Lepisosteus oculatus: one gene and its partner. The protein of the gene in region 1 purifies or fractionates together with the protein of each later gene. This does not show direct contact. Links are inferred from orthologs where the notes say so. Each region holds a gene or a part of one and is shown on either strand. Other genes may lie near its edges.

Evidence for each region. Proteins that work in one complex are often made in the same cells at the same time.
Region 2: the proteins of eno1a (region 1) and park7 fractionate together in Homo sapiens (co-fractionation; 3 studies listed by BioGRID). This does not show direct contact. The link is inferred for Lepisosteus oculatus from reciprocal best matches to the Homo sapiens genes ENO1 and PARK7.

The regions. Positions count from the first base shown.
Region 1 is NC_090720.1:1,526,877-1,537,157, reverse strand, and holds the start of eno1a (enolase 1a, (alpha)), read left to right. Parts: upstream 1-6,058; 5' UTR 6,059-6,169; intron 6,170-10,107; 5' UTR 10,108-10,117; coding exon 10,118-10,202; intron 10,203-10,281. Other genes in the region: ca6 (carbonic anhydrase 6), read right to left, coding at 150-270. UniProt on the Homo sapiens protein: Glycolytic enzyme the catalyzes the conversion of 2-phosphoglycerate to phosphoenolpyruvate. In addition to glycolysis, involved in various processes such as growth control, hypoxia tolerance and allergic responses.
Region 2 is NC_090720.1:6,608,493-6,618,861, forward strand, and holds the start of park7 (Parkinson disease protein 7 homolog), read left to right. Parts: upstream 1-6,488; 5' UTR 6,489-6,631; coding exon 6,632-6,721; intron 6,722-7,883; coding exon 7,884-7,985; intron 7,986-8,580; coding exon 8,581-8,640; intron 8,641-8,913; coding exon 8,914-8,983; intron 8,984-10,369. UniProt on the Homo sapiens protein: Multifunctional protein with controversial molecular function which plays an important role in cell protection against oxidative stress and cell death acting as oxidative stress sensor and redox-sensitive chaperone and protease.

The sequences.
Region 1 (10,281 bases):
TGCCTAGACACTGTGTCATATCAGAAACTTACAGAGAGGTCCAGACTCATGCAAAGAAACTTCTGTGTACGAGTGCCGAGTCTGAAAGTTATCCATCCTTTACATTGTTTTAAACACTAGTAAAAAAACTGAAGGAAATATTTTTTTACCTTTGTAGGACCAGTGTATTCCTTGAATTTTGTCACAGCTGACTCGCGCCAGCAGAAAACAGAAGCAGAGACAGAATTCCCATGTCATGGCTGAGCTTCGAAACAACAACAGCCTGTACATCCAGCCTTGTGCTTTGAGTGTGTGAGAGAGCGTTTAGGGGGAAATCGCTCTGCATGCTCAGATGAGATAGCCTTTGGCCTTGTGGATAAGTTTGTGAAGACCGGGAATCGGATATTGATTCCCCCTCTGGCTGGTTAGCTAATAGTTTACACACAGCATGCTGAAGGCATGCTCTTTTATGAGTTTATGGAAAGTAAACAGGAACTGAGGGCAATAGCTGTTTGTCTATGCACATGTTGCAGAGATCCTGTAAGTCCATTTTACAAAACAACATACATTTTTCCATGTTTTTAGGTTTGCCACGTGACACAAGCCTCCCAGGGTACGAATAAGTACAAAATGAAGCTTTTTTATAGGCCGTGTTGGTCCAAAGGCATTTGACTTTACAGGCTTTTTTTTTAAATTGCTAGTGATCTGTGAGCCCCAACCATGACAGGGCCATTCTGTTTTCTCTAGGCGTCCTTAAACCCGGAATAATTCCAGCAAGAGACTATTCCTGCTGCTGTTGCAAAAGTTCATTTTAAATGATTTTAACTGTTTCTTTTTTTTAGACTGGTTGTTTAAAATTAAAGTGGTTTAATATGTGCATGAACCTATTTCTCTCTACATGAGTATATACTGAGAGACATTAAAAACACAAGAAAGGTCAGTGGCTTCGATGCGTGTGTGGTGTTTTTCATGTCCTTCAGTGTACGAATACTATACGCGGTGGAGTAGGATGAGCCTTTGTGTTCATCGTTAGGCAACACATGATGTTAATTTTTAATTGTTTATTTGCAGGAACTCGTGACCCGACATCTGTGACTTGAACCCGCCCCACCCCCAATCCACACAGCTGCATGAATGGGCATCGGCCAGGAGCCCCTGACCAGACTGGCATCTGGTCAGGAGCGGGGAGTCACATGCTCCCACACAGAGACAGAAAGGGAAAGTCCTGAAGAATGATTGAGAGAAAGGCATGCACGGACCCCAGACCTCCTGTCTCAATCCCTCCTCCCGCCCCAGGTATGAGAACTGTGCAGGCAGCAGGCAAGCGACTGATGGTTCTGAAACAGTTCCCACTGAAAGAATTACTGCAAGCGTTGGCACCACGGAGTGTAGTTTTTGCAGCTGGTGCGTTCTGGGTAAGAATGGAGAAATGAGTGCAGTACTGTATGTTGTCCTGGATCTTAGGCTCATGGCTGTCAGTTATTAAAGGCCTATAGGCTTAGATCACTGCGATGGATTGGTGTCCCGTCCAGGGTGTATCCTGCCCTGCGATGGACTGGCATCCCATCCAGGGTGTATCCAGCCTTGCACTCTGCCTGCTCCGCAACCCTATGGATGGAAGCGTAGATGTATCGCTGACGTTTTGTGCTTCTCGCCAGCAAACCAGCGCAGCTCGCCATTCTCTCCTCTTTGCCCCTAACTAGCTTAATTAGTTAATTGGCTGAGTTGGGACCCAGATCTTGAAAGCTCTCTCCGAGAGATGCCGCTGGGTTATACTGCTGCTGTAAGCTTTCTCAGTCGAGCTCTGGATGTGGCCTGTATGGGTTATAGGTAGTCTTGGCTTCCCCCTCGCAAATGAATACCATGAGGCTGAAATGGCCTGTGTGAGCAAATCAGGGTATCGGGGTTCCCTTCTGCTTCTAACCGCAGAGAGCCTTTTCGGATGCCTCCTAGCATCTAGATGCGGTACTGTCGCATGCACGACTGTTCACGGTCCCAGACACCCCGCGGCGGAGTGGTGGCTCTGTGGCTCAGGATCTGTGCCTGTGGCTGGAACGTTGCTGGTTCAAATCCCGCGGCCAGTAGAGGAGGGCCCCAGAGCAAGGCCCTTACCCCCAACTGCTCCAGGGGTGCTGTACAATGGCTGACCCTGTGCTCTGACCCCCAGCTTCTCTTCCCATCTGTGTGTCTCATGGAGAGCATGCTGGGGTCTGCGAAAAGACAAACTCCTATTGCAAGACATTGTATGTGGCCAATAGAGTGATCTTGTCATATCCACCCATGTTCAGCCTGCATCTGGTGACAAAGGTCACTGCTTTCATTTGGTCTAGAATGGAAATTGATTTGGGAAGGGGAGGGGGGTATTGATCGGTTGAAGGATCAACCTTTATGCAATGTGTGGGTTTTCCGGAGTCAATAAAATTAATTATTTACAAACTTGAGTCGGGCCGCAGGCATGGCTGGCTCGGGTATAGATTTATAGATCACCTCTCGCCGTGTATTTGTCTTCCAGCCCCACGCCTGAATTGAACATGACTATTTCTTTTTTCAAACGAGGTGGCAAATGTGAGAAACGCACCACTGAGGCATAACTTATTTGCAAATATTGCCTCGGGAACTAAATTAATGGAACACTCCATTCAAAAAAAAAAAAGAGCTTCCCCCTGACGTAGAAGTACACTGAAACTCCGGGCTGTGCGGTGTTGGCACTGGCAGAACAGTGAGACCCTGATGCTGCACTTCTTCGTCTGACCAGTAGGAGGCAGTGTAGACCCTCACTGAAACCTTTGAGAAAGAAATAGTGGGCTGGCCTGGTTGGAACTGGGTGAGAGGAAAAAACTAATATTTTGCTTCCAGCCTTGTAGAGAATAAATAAAAATGAATAGTAGCTTTACGACTGATTGCGCCTGGCAGCCCAAAGTGTTCTGCACCTGGGAGGAGACCCAGCTGGGTGACACACAGCAGCCGCTATCTACCAGCGGTCCCAGTACCCAGCAGAGCCTGGTCTGATTGGCCAGAGCCCAGACAGACTTCAGAGTTCAGGCACTGGGGTCAGCTCCCCTGCCCTCACAAGACAGCCATGGGCATCTTTCATTAAACTTCCAAGGCAAACAAAACTTCAAACTGTTTTTTTCTTTTTAACGGATTACAGAGTAGGCGTGCTGGAACAATGAAGCCATCACATGGCAGTGACTCAGAAAGCTTGTGTCAGTGCTGTGGTGGGGCTGATGCAGTCCAGGCTGACCAGACCAGGATGCTGGTACACTAATACAAACAGTGCCCCACTTCTCTGGAAGAGTCTTCTACAGCTGGCAAAGAGAGCAAAGATTGGGTGCCGCTGCAATTGTGTGTGTGCGTTTTTTTAATTGAGTGCATTAATATTAGAACACACGCTGGGAATGACTCCAGAGTAAACAAGGGCTCTTTTATTCAGGCAGTAGTTGTTCTTACTTCTGAAGCCTCAAAACGAGTTTCATTCAAAGTTAAGTTAGAATGAATGGAACAACTGTCTCAATAAAACACGACTGCTTCCTAATATCTCAGTGAATCATTTTCTGACTACTGTTCTACCCTCAGAAAGCCCTGGGACGTCATGATGTGGGTTCCTGCCTGGAAACGCATTTTCTTCCGCCTCTGTCCGTGACGTGGCGCAGGCGAACCACCAGGCGGCGCGCTCCCGCGTCCCGCCGTCCTCAAGGTCACCGCGCGCGTCCGCCATTGCTGATGCTCCGTTCTGCACTCCTCCGGCTGCCATGGTGACGGGGGACGGGCCCTCGCCATGGCAACAGGGCCTCGAGGGGGGGTGGGGGGGTGGATGACTGCCGCTGATCATTCAATGGCGGAAAAAAAGGACGTTTTGAGAATGAATCAGCCCCGTGTTCAGGAATGCTTGTGCACGGTTACAATTTCTGTTCAGATTTTGTGCGTTACAAATGTGTTTATATATGTCTACAGGTCGGTACCGAAAAGGGCAGCAGGGTGGTGCAGTTGTTAGATAGACAAGACTTTATTGATCCCGAAGGGACATTGAGGATAGCATTGCTGCCCCGCAGTGCTGGGCCCCAGGGTTGAATTCCAGCCCTGGGGTGCTGTCTGTGTGGAGTCTGCATGTTCTCCCCGGGTTCGTGTGGTTTTCCTGTAGGCGCTCCGGTTTCCTCCCACAGTCCGTCCAAAGACATGCTGGTAGCTTAATTGGCTTCTGGGAAGACTGGCCCTGGTGTGGGTCGGCCCGGTTAAGCCAGGGACCAGCCGGTTTAGCCGAGCTGGACCGAAACCCAGACACACGGGCCTGCCGGGATCAGGACCGGACACCCCTGTCCTCCATTCCGTGCTGCTGTTTGCGCAGATCTGCTCATCATCGCCTGCCTGCCGAGACGGAAAAAAAACCTAAAAAAAGTGACATTTTGTCTTCCAATCGCTCTGATGAAGGGCGCCTGTGAGCGAGACACGCCGCCGAGGCGAACACGGTTATAAATTATGCAAGCTGCAGGTATTGGGTAACAGGTCTCTCCGCCCGGAGCCGAGCTCGTTAGGAAAGACAAGGTTTGCGCGTTTTCTGATTCCAGTTCCCTGTTTGCAGAAGCGCCATCCCTCCGCATTGCTCGCTAGCACACCAGGCAGCCCCTCGGCGTCTCCACACACGGGGCCCGGGAGCTGTCTGTCCCTCAGTTCACGGCAGCGTGGGTTCACCCCGAAAGCGCTGAACCGGCGCCCACCCGCCACCAGAAAGCCGCAGACCCCCCGGGTGAGAGAGGTCGGGGCAGGGAGCTGCGTCAGGCTTGTTGGAGGGGACCAGGTGAGGGTTTATTACCGGCTGGGACAGGGAAAGGGAGGAGACGGCGCCTCGTTCGTGGCCGCCCGCCTCTCGCTGGAAACCCCACGTGAATGCCGGAGGACCACGCGGACTCCACGCAGAAGGAGCCCCGACCCCACAGTCGAGCCCAGACCGCAACAGCTCCAAGGCTGACACCCACGCCCCTAGACTTGGGACGTATTCATTTATTTTAAAAAAAAGGAACAAGAAGAATATTTCATCACTGACGTATCTCTTTATTATAGCATTAGTTTTACAGGGCTTGAGAATCTCCCCTCGCCTTCTTATTCTTGAACCGTTTTTCTAATGATCGTGACAGAGAAAATGCGCGAGTGATATGCATCATGGAACAGGTCATGGGTTTATTCCCTGCCGAAAGGAGAAGAAAGAAAACACAACGTTTCGGCTGTGGACCCTTCTTCGGGTGTAAGAATAATGGGGGCACTCAGCCTATCTCCCGTGTGTATTATAGCATGTGTATGTGCACCTATGTTATGTGTTCGGCTACGTAAAGAGAAAATAAAGATGAGGAAAATGTCAGCTCGCACTCGGGGCTGCGGCGGGTGTCTGGCGAAGGAGAATGACTGTTCTGTATCAATCTGCGGGTCACCCTGAGTGGTTTGGGGATGACTGAATCGTGAATCGGCCGTGGAAAGCCTGGCTCGGGCGGCGGTCTGCTCCCTGTGCAGTGACGCAGCGCCGTCGCGCGGAAAGCGTTGCTGATTCCCGGCACGTAGTCCTCACTGCGCCACCGCATCCCGAGCGGGGGGGGGGCTGGGTCGGGACTGTCCCTGGAGAAGCACCTTTCATCCTGGGATCTGGTTACATCCTTGAAACCCGTGCAGCACCCCGAAATAAAGGACCCATCCCCTACCCACGTGCGCAACAGGCGGTGAGCCCCGACAAAGCTCACGACGGCGGCCCCAGTTCGGCTCCAGGCGTTATCTGCGGTTTTTTTAATGTTACAAATACGTGCATTGCTTCCGATAACGGGTTTCACCTCGGCCTGTGGAGATGCTGCGAAACGAGGGGACGCTAAAGTGGGGGCTTCGTTCGTTTCGTTTGGAAAGAAAACGCGACTTTTTAAAAAGAAATCTGACGCAGACGGTAACAGTAACGTGTTCCGCATCCGCCCGGCGGGCGCCGCTGCGCTCGGTGGAAACTTCCAGCCTCGCGTGCACCGGCCTCCTCCTCCTCCTCCTCCTCCTCTCCCCCCCCCACCCCGAGTTGCGGGCGTGTCGCGTGAGCCCCGCAGGAGCCAATCAGGCGCGAGCCCTCTTCCTGATAGCGCTGCCCTGCGCGAGCCCTGCTTCTCTCCGTCTGCCAGCCAGCGCGAGCCCCTGTCCTTCTCCTTCTCCTTCACCGCCGCACAGTCAGGTAAGAGCGGCTCAGCACCACGTATAAAGCCTTTAGCCCAGTTTAATCATGAGCGGGCCCCGTTTTGTAAGCTCTGTTTTATTCGTTTCTGGGGTGTGTGTGTGTGTGGGGGGGGGGGTTCCCCATCTCGTGCGCTTTCTATGCACGCGTCGTCTTTAATATTTTTGATTTCCCGAAAGTTCCGAATTAATTCACATGCTGTGACCTGAATCAGTGTCTCTCTCTATACCCTGCTTTCCCCTGGAAAGCTCCGGGAGGTAAGCGGGTGTCGAGACGCTATGGGGCTGCAGCTAATTAATAGGGGGCCCGGCAGTACATTGTGTCAGAGAGGAAGTTTTGTCATTTTAGTTGGAAGGTTTTAATCGCCCATTTTAGGCGATTTCTCTTTAAACCTGTTAATTATCTTAAAGGTTTTGCCCGTCTGGGGGGCGGAGCGTGAAGGGTTCGCTCGGTGCACCGCCGGGGGTGTAATTCAATTAGGGGTATCGGGTTCAAGTTCAGCCCCAGCGGAGAGCGTCATATCGGGGCTGCCGGCGGTTTGAAACGGGTCTGTCGCTAAGCGGTCGCCGTTTCCTCTCTTGACAAAGCCGTATAGAAATGCTGAGATCATTCTGTTACAAGACCAACGTTTGATATCATTGTGCAATTTTCCTGTCGTTCTGAACTCTGCTCTGTAGCTCGTAGTTCCTGGTTAACTGTATCTCGGGAGTAAAACGCTTCTCAAGCGGGTCTTTAATCCCAGGGACATCCATGTTGTCCGTGTCGGAACTTTAAATAGACTGGCTTTTTTTCTGCTTCCTGGGAAACGCCAGTCTGTCTGTAGCGTTTTTTTTACGTGAGTTTTTTTAATGCGTTTAAAACGTAACTTTCATCTCCTCCTCCTGTTAATTTTTTTTAATTGTTGTTGGGGGTTTTTTTCCTAAAAAAAAGACCACTTCTGGAGGTGGGGAGGGAAAGAGACGAGATCCCGGTTTAGAGACGCAGAAACACTATAATTGGAGCGAATATAAGACTCGAGGCCTTCCGGGCTGCCTCGCTTAACACACCCGGCTGGAGGGGACGGGCGACGCTTTCTGATTTACTGAACAAGCCGAGTATTTCCAGCTCCCAGGACACGACCTTTGGAGGCAACGCCGCTTTCGGAGGTAGCGGTTCCAATGTCAATCGTGTTTTCGGGGTTTTGGGGTCACCCTCAACACCCACGTCCTCCCCGAGGCGCTGCGAGCGCCGCACCTGTGCGGAGTCCCCGGCACCACCCGGGAGGGTGGGGGTGGAAAAAACACGACATCGTGCGTGTCTGAGAGGAAAAAAAGGGGTGTCGAGTGGACTTTTCGGGGGTGACCCCGAAACCCAGATCGACATTGAAAACCACGTTGCCTCCAGAGGCAGTGTGCCAGGAACTGGAAATGCTCGGCGCGTTCAGTAAATGGGGACACGTCCCTCCCGCCCACTCAGGTCTCTAGCGGTCTGATTCCTCAATGTGAAGCAGAAACCACGTTTCTTGCGGTGAAAGGGCTGTCCTCTCAGCCACTCAGACTGCTTTCCACCAGCACCGTTTGGGAGACCCCAGTAGTTTTATTTTCATTAACATCACGGGACCCCAGTCTGTGTCCCTCAGTTCTTGCGACCCCCCGGTTGTTTGCGAATTGGGGTATGTGAAAAGACAGTGCAAGAAATGGGCTCATAAAGTGATCTTATCTTATCTATGAGCAGGACTGCTCACTACTGGAGAGCACTGGAATGGCTGCATATTGAGTAGGGGGGATCTCCCATCCTGGTCCAGGAAAGCTGTAGGACCTTCTGGTAATTGGCTAAGTTGAAGTGAAGCTAAGTGTTGATATAACAAGCTTCAACCCTAACCACTAGTTATAAATGCCTATAAAACCCAAAGGACAGAGGGTGCACCTGAAAATGTGCTTTGGGGGTTATGACTCTGTTAGTACTGGCCATGATTAATGCTCTTTCCTGTGAAATTGCAGATGTCTGATTCATGCAGCGCAATTGGCGTTTAAGGAAATAAGTCACTTGGTCCTGGAAATAAGTTTTTCGATAGCACGGGCGGCCTGTTGCCGAGGCTGCGAGTCGTTATATACAGGCCTCTCAGGCTGTCCGCGTTGGTGAGGAATATTGAAGTCTTGGCTGTGAAGGAAAGCCCATTGCAGACACCGTAATGTTGACACGGAGACCTGCACTGGCCGTGGGTACAGATCAGGGTACAAAAGATAAGCTTCTTGTAGGCTTCTAACTCAAAAACTAGATTTACTATGCAACAGCTTATTTTTTTGTTCTTTACTCGGAAGTGCATTTCTTAGCCATCCTGATGCAGTTTGATCAGTTTAACAGTCTCTCTTCCTGGCTGTTTCCTCCGAGAGCAGAGACCCCTGTCCTACAGCTTTGTAACCAAGAGCACCTTGGCTAGAATAGACTCGCTGTGAATAGCAAGTTTGTTTGTTTTTAACCCCGGCTGGCCAAAAGCTGAACTCGACTAAAAGCCTGTGGCTCCATTCAAACAGCCGTCCCACTCGATCGTGTGGACGAGGGAAGGACAGCACGGGTCTGCTAGCTCCTAGGGACAGCCGGGGGCAGTTTTCCAGTGGTCCATCTCCATCGCGCAGACATTAATGGATCGAGAGGGAGTGCTGCGCAGGGCATCTCGCTAAAAGTCTAAATAGGCTTTTATTGGTTGGGTGCGCCTCACTTGACATCTGAGCACTGACTCATTTTGTGAGCTTGAAAGGTATTAGCCCACGAAGCCTAAACTAAATCGGTATCCTTACCAATAAGCACTTTAGTCTCCCTGGCCCCTAGTGCCTTAAGGTTAAAGGGCCCCAGTTTTGATGCCTGATGTGTTGCTGTAGGGACTAAGCTGAGGTGTCTCATTTGGCAAAGTTAGACTCATTTTCAGATGCAGTGTTGAGGGTGTCCTGTTGCCCTTGGATCAGGACAGTTTAGTTTTAAACAACAATAGAAGCATGTCAGAATGAAAAGGATGATTGATTAGTGCATCGATAAGATGATTTATAGCACATTGGCGATCTGATCTAGGCTTTACCGCTGTTCTGGAAATAGGCTGCTGGCCACCTGTTACCAGGTTGTACACTGACAGACGGCTGACGTGGAGAAGGTCCGTCTGAAGACATCTAAAACTGGACGCTGAACCCAGTTCTTGAAAAACGCAAATCGGGATCAATTGTTGAGCTGAGGCTGTGTCTTTGAGGCTCTCTATAGACGATAATCCTTGAAAGTTGGGATGTAGCAGTGTAGTTTTTGATTGTAAACGAATTGCAACAGTTTTTGTTTTATTCACAATGAGTTTGCATGAGCGCTTAAGAGCGTCGTCTCCACCGCGTTCCACCGCTCGGCCCGTTGGGGCAGAAGAGACGTCTGTCCGGGTGCTGGTGCTGGTCGGGTCGTGCCGTGGAGCGCTGGGAGGGAACGCGCTGGTGTGCTGGGGGAGGGGGTGTCTCTGCGGTCTCCCCAGCGCGGACTGGGGAGAACCTGCTGAGCGAGGGCCCAAGGCAGGGCTGCTCTTTCCAGAGCAAGGCTGCTGCCAGAGCTTCTGTAGGAATACAGGACCGGTGGAGACCCAGCTGCCCGCCGAGGAGAGGAAGACCTGCACAGCCATGGGGAGAACTGGGGGCAGACCCCCCCTCTGGCTCCAGGTGGATCTGTGCTCCTTCTCGGAGCACAAAGGTTTTTTTTTTAAGTTGTCTCGTGGCTCGTTCGGTTGTTCTTCCGAAGGCAGGTAGCCCTTATGCGATGCCCCTTTCCCCCAGGAGGGGGCCGTGGGGAAACTCGCTCGGAGGTTTCGCTGCCCCCTGGTCTTGTTGCATGAGCTTGTTTTAAACCGGGGGCAGCAGCGTGGTCAGGGGGCGCCCCACCAGGCAGATCGGTTTGGTCACCGGCGTTTGTCCCCCCCCCCCCCCCTTTCGTTCCAGAGCCGCCATCATGTCCATCCTGAAGATCCACGCCCGTGAGATTTTTGACTCCCGTGGAAACCCCACTGTGGAAGTGGACCTCTACACTAAGAAAGGTAAAATGAGTGGGGAGGGGGCAGGAGTTGACATAATTATCATGAGAGAGAGAGATAAGGAGGCATGTTTCGTGAGTTT
Region 2 (10,369 bases), about 5.1 Mb from region 1:
GATTGTGAATAGTTGGATCATGTACAGTATTCATATAAGCCATAAAGATACTACATTGGAAATGTATGGTCTCTGCACCATTATACGACCAAGACTGAAATAAATGGAATTTTCCAGCACAGACCCAAGAAAACCTACTGTGGTTTCTCAGTGTCAATGTCTCTTATCTCTGTCAGCTGAGATTGATTACAGAATGCCTCCATTATTAAGGCTAATCCTCCATGCTGATTCCCATGCTGCAGTCAGCAGTCATATAGTCCAATGGCAGCACGTCATGACATTACCACTTTAGGGCTCATGAATGCAATGAGGTTTATGGGTCTTCTGTGATGCTTAGTTATGTTCACAACCATATTATCAGCCGTGTGAAAGTCATCTCTTTAGGTGACGATATGTGTTACACAGAGTATCCTGGCTTCATTGCAGGTGCATCTGTTAATGGGAGATGGACCCTGAACACTTCTGTTTCATGTTGCAAAGTTCCTGGCACCCAAGCAATGACATCTTGGTGAGCCCTCATGCCTTTTACATGTGTACAAATCCCCTTTGCCCTCCTAATTCCATAAGCACAGATTTTGCATGATGCTTGTTGTCACATTTCTTATTTTTAGACTTACGAGCTAATGAGGAGCTAATGTGAACGTTTTTTACAGGCATATCAAAACCTTTCATGCACAGACAAGACATACCAAGATAGTTGAGTTGAGTTTCTTAAGTGCGTTGGTTTGTAGGACTCTCCTTTTCTAAAAAAGGTAATAAAACTACAATTCAAAAATGAACTAAAATAAACAGCACCATCTTGTGGTCTCTTAAAACTTAACAAAACACCTCTAAGTTCTCAAAGATCATGTTGACACCCAGACTTGACAGTCACATTTGAGAGTCATTTCTAATATACTCACCAGCCCTCAGACCGTTCAAATGAAGACAGCAATACGAAGATGTCTGCTTAGGCTGATCACAAATATGTCCAGTCTGAGATGCCCTGTGTCCATCAACCCCTGCAAAAGGTGTCTTTTGTTACTGTCACACACTGATTCTGACTGTACTGTAGCTGACTGCGCTTGCAATTCTGTGTTCAAAAACACCAGGGGTAGATGAGGGAGGTGGGGCTGTAGTGGTCAACAGAGACCAGAAAGGTGTTTGTAAAAAATGTAGACTCTAGTTTAGGGGAGTGTTTGGGGACTGCAATATTTTAAAAGGATATAATGAAGGGAATATGAAGTCCTTGGCCACTATTTGAAGAGTTTAATGGATTGTTGTTGTTGGAAACCTTTCTCCAACTAAACTCGTACTCTTAACTGTCACCAGGCAGTATGACAGAGCTCACAACCTCAGGGAACAGGAGAAACCCTTTCAACTGAGAAAATAAACATCCCAATCCCCTCCTGACCTTATTATGAACCAACAAGGTGAATCCAAGAACTCATTTTGTGGTTCAAAAATCACCCATACTGGGGAGCTTCTCAGCAGCTCCATCAGAAAAGTTGTTCTCTCAGAGTGCAGGTTGATCTTGGTGACTCAGGAGTCACTGGTTCGAGCAGTGGCAGACAGTGACTGTCCCAAGAGCAGGACACAACTGTCTGTATGCCACCAGAACGGGATGAGCAGTAGCAGGCCAGTCGTCTCTCAGCTCCTGGTGCAGCAGGGACTCCTTATTACTTCCTGGGTGCTTGCAGGCTTGCAGTGCTGTCACGGAGAACCTCTGCTCTGATTGCTGTTGAGTCTCTGATTAGGCCTTGTGGAACTTTAAGTGCCAAAAGAGTGAATGAGTCTAGCATGGGTCCTCTTTCTCCCCGTGTGGGTACAGAACATGTAGCCTGGTAGGACTACCCCAAACCAACTGCTGGTTCCAAACTGGTTGAAATAATAAAACAAGAATGATGTCAAAGTCTAGATATATAAAAAGAAATCTCGGTTTTGAATTTTGTTTGGCGATAACTTTTTCGGAGACTATGATATCTGCCCTACACTGCTATGCTTTCTTCCTTTCTGATGGTTGTTGATTTAGCAGACAGCGGTTTCTGGAATTCTTTGCTTTCATTTAAAGCATTGCATTATGGAACACCCAGTGGATGCATTTTACAACCCCTTCAGCCTTCTCAAGAAACCTCTGTTGCTCGCTAGATAAAACTGTGTCAAAACAGAACCTAAAGTCTGGAGGGGTGTGAGAGAAAGCGCTAATGAGCCATGTAGCAGTGTAGAGATCGCCCAGGGTCTTTCTCTTCTTAAATGAAAGAAGATCCCATCTGCGGGGAAGTACCCATTGCAAATCCAGGGAACAAGACACCCGATACCATAGTGAACACACACGCTCTCGCACAAATACATACCCACACTGAAAAAAATTAAATCAGAAAACATGTTTTGTAGTTCTGCCAGCAGTAGATCAAAGAGGCTGACACTTGTTAATATCCGTTTGTTTTTTTTTTACTTGTAAGCGTTAAATCTGGTTTAAATTAGCACCCTTAAGCACTGTGGTTGGTGGGACATGAATTTGGGAAGGATCCAAGAGTGTCAGTGGCGATTTGCGCTCACATTTTAAACAGCCAGTGTGGCACGTAAAAACAGCTCTCCCAGTCTGCTGTCACTTGTGGAGGTGAGTGAGCCAGCCGAAAGCAGACAGCCAGTATTAATGGCTATTTAATGAATCGGTGCTCTGTTGGTACGGACACATAGTGGCTCTCCTGTTCAGTCTAATAATCATTTTCCTCATCTGCATTCAATTATAATCTCACCTGTTCATTCGAATATCATTTTCCTTTTCCCGGAATTTAGCAATTCCTAGCCATATTTCATTCTGTAATGTAATAATGTTAATACCCAATTAAATTCAATTCTAATGCGCTCGTGAATGAATATTCGGAGCTGTTTAAGCTGTTGAAGCAGCGGTATCCACCTGTCAGCCTCCCCTCTGTGAGCTTCCACAGGTGTGATCCCTGCCAGCCGGCCTCGCCTGTCCCTGCGGTGTGCCGACTGACGATCGGCCTGACCTGATGGCCGCTGCGATGCGTTTACTCCAGGTCTCCCCAGCAGACAGACGGAGCACGCCTGCCCCATTCCCTCTCCTCCGTCCCCATCGCCTGTGTTTGAGACTCTGAGGCAGGGTGGGCTGGCCAGACTGTGTGACATGCTCTGAGGGGGTTGCACCTGGCCGCAGAAGCATGTTGTGTGAACCAGCCCTGCCCGGCTGTTTGACCCCTGGCTGCTGGCTCTTAAAGCACCTGGAAGACCTCATCGCCAACTGCCAACAAGGAAGTACTCCCTTTACCATGTGCCACTTCAGGAGGCGTGCCCATTAGAGTACGCTAGCTTAGTGACCGAGAGGAAGGCATTTAACCCCTACTTCTCTCTTAGTGGACTGTAGCATACTGGGCCATGGATCTCTTCTTGATAGCCTTGATATCCAACATTCCAGATTTGAATGGTAAAGTCATAACTTCAGCACGCGCTGATCTGAGACAGCCGAATCGGAGAGGGGAGGGAATTTATCTCTGACCCTGTTTGGGGCTTTAAATTTCAATCTGGGAACTGTAAAGAAACGCACACATCCGGGATCTGAGTATATGGGGTTATGGGGAGGTGTACATGCAAGGAAGCATGGTGTTTATGTCCAGGGTGGCTGGGATGGCCACCTCTCCTCCACCGCTACGCCCCTGACGTGATCTACAGGGAGGGGTCGAGGTAGCCTCCTCTGTCTCCTCAGGGAGGTTGAGGGAGGAAGGAAAAAATGGCAGCCTTGTGGTTAAAAATAGGACGTGGAGGATATTTTCTTTTGGGTCTTAGCAGTAGCTACAGGCTGTAAAATTAAATTAAATTATACTGTGGCTATGTTTGTTTGCACACTACAGGTGCCCTTAGCTAAAGGCCTTCTACCTAGTCAGCAGAGCAGATTAGCTGTAACCAGTATTGGTACAATAAGTCGGTGAGCTGCTTTGTTGAAACAGCAACATTAATCGTGAAAACGGTACAGGGCTAAGAAGAAGAAAAGCCTTTTGAAAGCAATTACTCTTTAAGAGGTCTTTGTTTATTCTCCGCCTGCCTTTGGAAGAGGTTTTCCTGCATGACAACAACAAAGAGCGTCGGGGAAGAAAGTTGGATATTTAGGAAGAAGCGCCCGCTACGCCTCATTTAAGTTTGCAGAATCGCACAGATGGCTCAGCGGGCAAATTTGCATCGTCAGTGTTTCAGACTTTAATCCCTATTCTTACGAGGTTACCTGGTTTACAAGCGAGTTTAATAAGCATTCCCTCAGTATGATCATATGCTCACTATAAGCTTCTTATGTAAAGAATAAAAAATAAATAAATGCCTGTTTAGGGAAAATAGCTAGTGTACGACTGCGGCAGGCTCAGTGATCCCGGTTACATATTTTGGTAATCGTTACTGCCTTCTGGATTTGCAAACAGGCACGTAGAAAATAGGCCGGCTACAGCACCCCAAATCTTTATTTAATCCGTTGTTTCATTGGGCTCTTTTAAGTTGCACAAATATGAAAATGCAACTGCAGAATGCACACTGGTGCATTAAATTGGGACAAGTGCCTGCATATTAAATCTCCAAACCATTCACGTTCTGATTTACATGAAAATATAATTCCCTGGTGTCCGTTTATGACTCGCTTATGCAGCTGAGCTATTTGCACGGCGTAGCTTGTAAGGAAGCAGACTTCCTGGGCCCAGTCGGTGCACTTACCCCAATAATTCAGACAGGGATTCAAATTCCCACCAGTATATTGTAATTGACTCATTGAATTGTGAGTATAAAAAATATTGTCTGCGACATACAGGGTTCGCGTAAAGTTTTCGGTCCTATTGGAACAACCATATTGTCAGAACAAGTGTCGGGATCACAGCTGTACAAGGCTTCACATCTTCTCTTCTCAGCATGGAATAAATCTATTTTCTTGTTCCTTTGCCGACTCCGCATGCTGACGCAGCTATCCACCTGAACTGTGGTCAGAACAGATTACTACAGAGCATTGAAATCTAGCACTTACACAAATAGGATCTATCCTGACCCTTACGAGACGTTCTGAACGTGGACGTGATCAATGGACAAGAATCCACGGAGAACAATTTCCTATTGAAAATCACGGTGCACACTGAGAGTGCGGTTACCTATCTACAGGGATCCACATTGTGCACTATGCGCCCCCCTGTGGACACTGGTGATGTTAGCGCTTTTTGGTGCGTTCATTTGTTGTTCATGGGTTGTGCCATCTGAAAGTTATTGAGAGCGCGTTCACATCGCTCACATCTTGAAGAATAAAAAAACAGTGCATTTCAAAATATATTTTGAATAATATTAATATATTTCAAATATTGACAAACTAAGACCAATGGAAGTACTAAATCAATTGGACTTAAATCAAGTAAAAGATTCTGAGGGTACTTTATTTTAAGTATAGTACTTCAATTATATTTTGAACTTGAACATGAACTTTATTGCCATATGTAACCGGTACTGGTACAATGGAATTCTTACTAACAGAAAGTCTCTCGATCATAAAACAAGTGTAAAAAAACAAAACAAAGTGCAAACAGTTTAATGCACTCTATAGGGACTTTTAATATATTTGCTGGAAATATCCTAAGAAAATATCTATGCTTGTAGGTCTACTGTAATTTAACATTAAATACACACCAATACAGCTGCCACCACGTCTACTACTAACCTAGGAATGGTAAATAATGACAAAATATCCCAAATCTTCTTTTTAAGTATAAAGTACAGCACAAGGAACGTGGAGAAAACGTAATCTATAACTAAACTAATTACAGTTTAAGCAACCTGTATTTGAATATAGTTGACTACATTGAACATTTCTGACAAGGTGCTGATCGCAACATTTTAAAAGGCGCAAAAGTGATAATAAGTGTGACACACCCCACACAAAACTGAACTTTTTGCGGGCTCTCACAAAGGCGCCCGTGCAGAAGCGTCTTTTACACAAGAGGCTGGAGATGTCTGAGGGAAAACGGTACAGCGCAGTACTGGGTGAATCTGTATAGGCACAGACGTCCTGCACTTTTAGCTTTTTTGGAATATGTCACATCCTTCAGAGATTCTACATCAGCATTTAGAAAAAGTGTTCACATCGCAGAATTTAATGGATATATATTGTTTCTGGTATTAAACCATGTGGACATGTGCCCTTAACACCTCTGAAGAAGAATAGCAAATATCTATATTTAGCATCTATATACAGTACATATAAAGAAAATGTGTTAATGTCATGGACCACATAGGATGCTTCTTCATCACTAAGGTGACACCGCCCTCTAGTGGCTGAAGAAGTGTCACACCTGCCAACAGCAGCTCATACTGAGAAGCTTCCCATTTCTTCATTTCGTTATGCAAGTGTTGTTTTCATTTATAGTTAAGTATGGACACGAAATAATGATGGTAATAAAGCTTTAAGTACACGCCTTGTGGATTAGGATCAAGAACGCGCCTCATAAAATTGAGCCCCCGTGGCATTTCGGTCGCGCTGTTTGTCCCCGAGCCTTTGCCGTAGCTAGGGAAGTGTGTGTGTGTGGACACTGTTGAGTTTCAGGTCGTCTGCAAGTGCCTTTTGTTCACAACCTCAATCTAAGAAGTTTGCTTTGGCTCTTCAGAGTTCACACAAATGGCAGCCAAGCGGGCTCTGGTTATCCTGTCGAAGGGTGCTGAGGAGATGGAGACGGTTATCCCGGTGGACATCATGCGCAGAGCCGGGGTCTGTACTGTATGCGGCAGTTTGACACGCTTAAACTTTACCTCAGCATAGGTGGTGCATGAAAACAACGTGCTATCCTCAGGCCTAATGATGCGCATTCCTTCTGTTCTGCAGAATAAGAGAACTATTTTTTAGTTATTGCTTGTATATGATATATTCTTGCTTCCACAAAAGACATAACTGTGTTTGTACTGAAAGAAATTACGAAATAAACCGCCAGCGTTGCAGCAGATGTTTGAGTATGAATCGGTGCCTTGAAACGGTCATCCACGGTAATAACGACGAATAATCGGCGTTACGCTATCTACAAGGCTGCGATGCATTTTTGTCTGCTGCTATGAAGTCTTCATTTTTAACAAGTGATTGGAATTATTAATACGTTTAATACTACAAAGCACTCAAAAACAAGGACACCGAGTTAATAGTAAAGGCCGTAGTCTTAGGACGATTAGATTTTGAAAGATGAATATGTATGCGAGAGCTCGGCATTTGCACATTGCAGTTGACTACAGTACAATGGTACTGTAATTTTCATTTACTTGTCAGTGACTTGAATATCACTGTGCATCTTCATGGGATAGTTCTGGAAAGAGCAATGTCTCTTAACCAGTCTGCAGGCACGGTGCAAAAGTGGCGTGAAAGTGATCCAATAAACTGAAGAGAGGCGGGGTCAGTGACGCGGAATGTGATAAAGATAGATCTGGGGTCTACTGTAAATGTCAGTTAGCTGCAGGGATGTTCTTGGGTAGTTCATTTCTAATTAAAATGACTTCTGTAATATTGCGAAGGCTGCCTGATTGAGGCAGAACTGTAATGTTAGGCGAAACAAGCCCCGTCCATCACTGGGATGCGTTCTCTAAGGCTCAGAGACCTTAAGGAGCTCCTGAGTCCAGGCTCAGTGATCAGAATGGGACGCCGTCCCACAAGGCCTCATCTGCAAGCGTGTGTAAAGCTGGCCTCATGCCCAACAGTGTTTGAAAGCATTGCTAGCCTCTGACTTTACCTTTGCACGTAATTTTATGTGTTTGTTAGTGATGCCATTCTTTTGATCACCGGCATATGCATACAAAGAGGGTTGAAATGAATCAGGCCAGTAAAGGATTTCTGGGCACCGTGTGAGGCCAGAAACCCATCGACCTGACGGAGGGCGCTTGTTCCGCAGGTGAGCGTGACGCTGGCCGGCCTGTCGGGGAAGGAGCCCGTGCAGTGCAGCCGAGACGTGCTCATCTGCCCTGATGCCAGCCTGGAGGAAGCCCGCGCGCAGGTCCGAGCAGCAGTGTCCCATACGCGTGCGCGCCATGTGTTGAAAGGAGTTTGTGTTTAAATGCCGTCAAATTCAAGTTTGTAGTTCTGAACCCAGGCTAAACTCTGCATTTGACCACCAGTTTACCCACAGTAAAACACTGCGTGTTCCTTTCTGGCAAACGGTTAAAAGAAACAACACTGGTGGGCCACAATCATCAATATTATTGCAGACTTGAGGAATACAAGGGCTGGGCTTTATTAGGATTTATTGATGGATTCGGCAAGGATTAATTTAAGATTTATGTGGTACCATTTTTTTTTCTTTAAGTGGTGCTTTTGTAGGTTACTTTGCACTTTTTGTAGGTTAACTTGCGCACTTGTTGACAATGGCACCTGTGTCAGCCTAGCGGAAGATTCAGGAGTAAAGGCTGAAGTATTAACTCTGCTCTCCTCACACGGTGGGTCACATTGGGCATTTTGTGCTTCAAATTATTTTGCATACAGCAGATGGATTAACGAAGGCTGCCCGTCCGTTTGTAGAGAGGTGTTCTGTGGCGATGTGTGAAAAAGCAGGGCTGTATCGGCAGTGATGTGGCCTGCCCTTTTCTCCCCAGGGCCCGTACGATGTGGTGGTTTTACCCGGAGGAAACCTGGGGGCGCAGAATCTGTCTGAGGTAAGAGCAGGACCGCAGCACAGGGCCCTAGTTTCCACTAAAACTGTGGGGGAGTGGGACAGGTGAATAGGAACGGAAAAGAGTTACTTAATAGAAACAAAAACCTAATTCTGTCACATAGTGTGGAGTTAAACAGCTGCCCCTAATGGCATCAAGGTGTAATTGTATTTATGTAACATGGGAATCCTATGAGAGGCGCAGAACTCTACTTTTCATTACTGCGCATACGAGTGTTGAATTGTGTGGCCAGACTCCTTGTGTTTTTTCTTCCAGTCTCCAGTGGTGAAAGACGTGCTGAAGGACCAGGAAGGCAGGAAGGGGCTGATTGCTGCCATCTGTGCAGGTATCCCCAGATATCGCGGCTCATTCAGGGCACGCAGAGGTGTGAGCGGGGGCTCATTCAGGGCACGCAGAGGTGTGAGCGGGGGCTCATTCAGGGCACGCAGAGGTGTGAGCGGGGGCTCATTCAGAAAGCACAGAGGGCTACACAATCTTGTCCTGTTAACAGATGCATGTGCCAGTCCATTCACTGGCTCTTTCTGGAGAGAGCTGTATGTCAAAGAATTTAAAAATCCTAGACAAATAGGAAGACTTAAGAAAAACGCACAAAGAGGTCATTTAGACCACTTTTGCACGATGCTGTAAAATTTCAAACTATGTATTTGAAATAGAGTAATAAGTTTGAAAAAAGAAGGGCATCTTAAACGTGATCAGTTTTTAAAAGTTTTTTAAATTTGCTGACAGATTTTGGAAATCCCAAACGTGCGCATCACCAAATATTCCCTGCTGGCAGCCTAACAATGCATCGATACAGAGGTGTTTCTATTCCATCTGCCCCACTTTCACTGGCAGTTATCAGCTGTAGATGAGTGGGCTGGTTTGACTGAGCTGCAGCTGGAAGGCGTTTCCACTGCTGCTGCTCGGATCCGACCCGGACAGCACGGTTCTGTATCTCGTACTGATGTGGACCCAGCAGATCTAGCAGGAGCTGTGGTACTTAACAGTGAAGATTTGGAGTCGTTGTTTTATGATTTTAATTAAAGAATTTAAGAAAATAAGACCAAATGAGCCTTGCAACTTTCAACGTATTGGATGCTGGATGATGCAATGAAGTTGTCCTGACCCTTCTGTCTTACAGAACGAAAAGTCATTGATAAGACTGCTGACAAACGCTTATGCAACAAAAATAAAAATAGCAACAAAACTTTGATCCTCTTCATCCTTCTTGTATTTCTTTAATTGCTTGACCTTTAACTGACACTTCCTACATCGGCTGTGTCTACTGGAATTAGAACTTGGAACGCAAGCAGACGCATCGAGCTGAAGCAGTGCTGCAGCTGATAACGGCCAGCACAAAGATCACTTTATTGGCCATATACAATTTCTTGCATTAGGAATTTGTCTTTTCACATACGCCAGCTTGCTCTCATGAGACACACAGACAGGGAGAGAGAAGCCTGGGGTCAGAGCGCAGGGTCAGCCATTTATACGGTGCCCCTGGAGCAGCTGGGGTTAAGGGCCTTGCTCAGGGGCCCAACGAAGTAGGATTCCTCTGCTGGACGCAGGATTTGAACCAGCAACCCTCCAGCCACAGGCGCAGATCCTTAGCCACAGTGCCACCACTCCTTGCTTAGGAAGAGGGATGTAGTGTTGTTTTTACATCACCTTATGACAAGGCAGCATAGAGATCTACAGCCACAAGAAAGTATAAATAAAAGGTTTGTGTTCA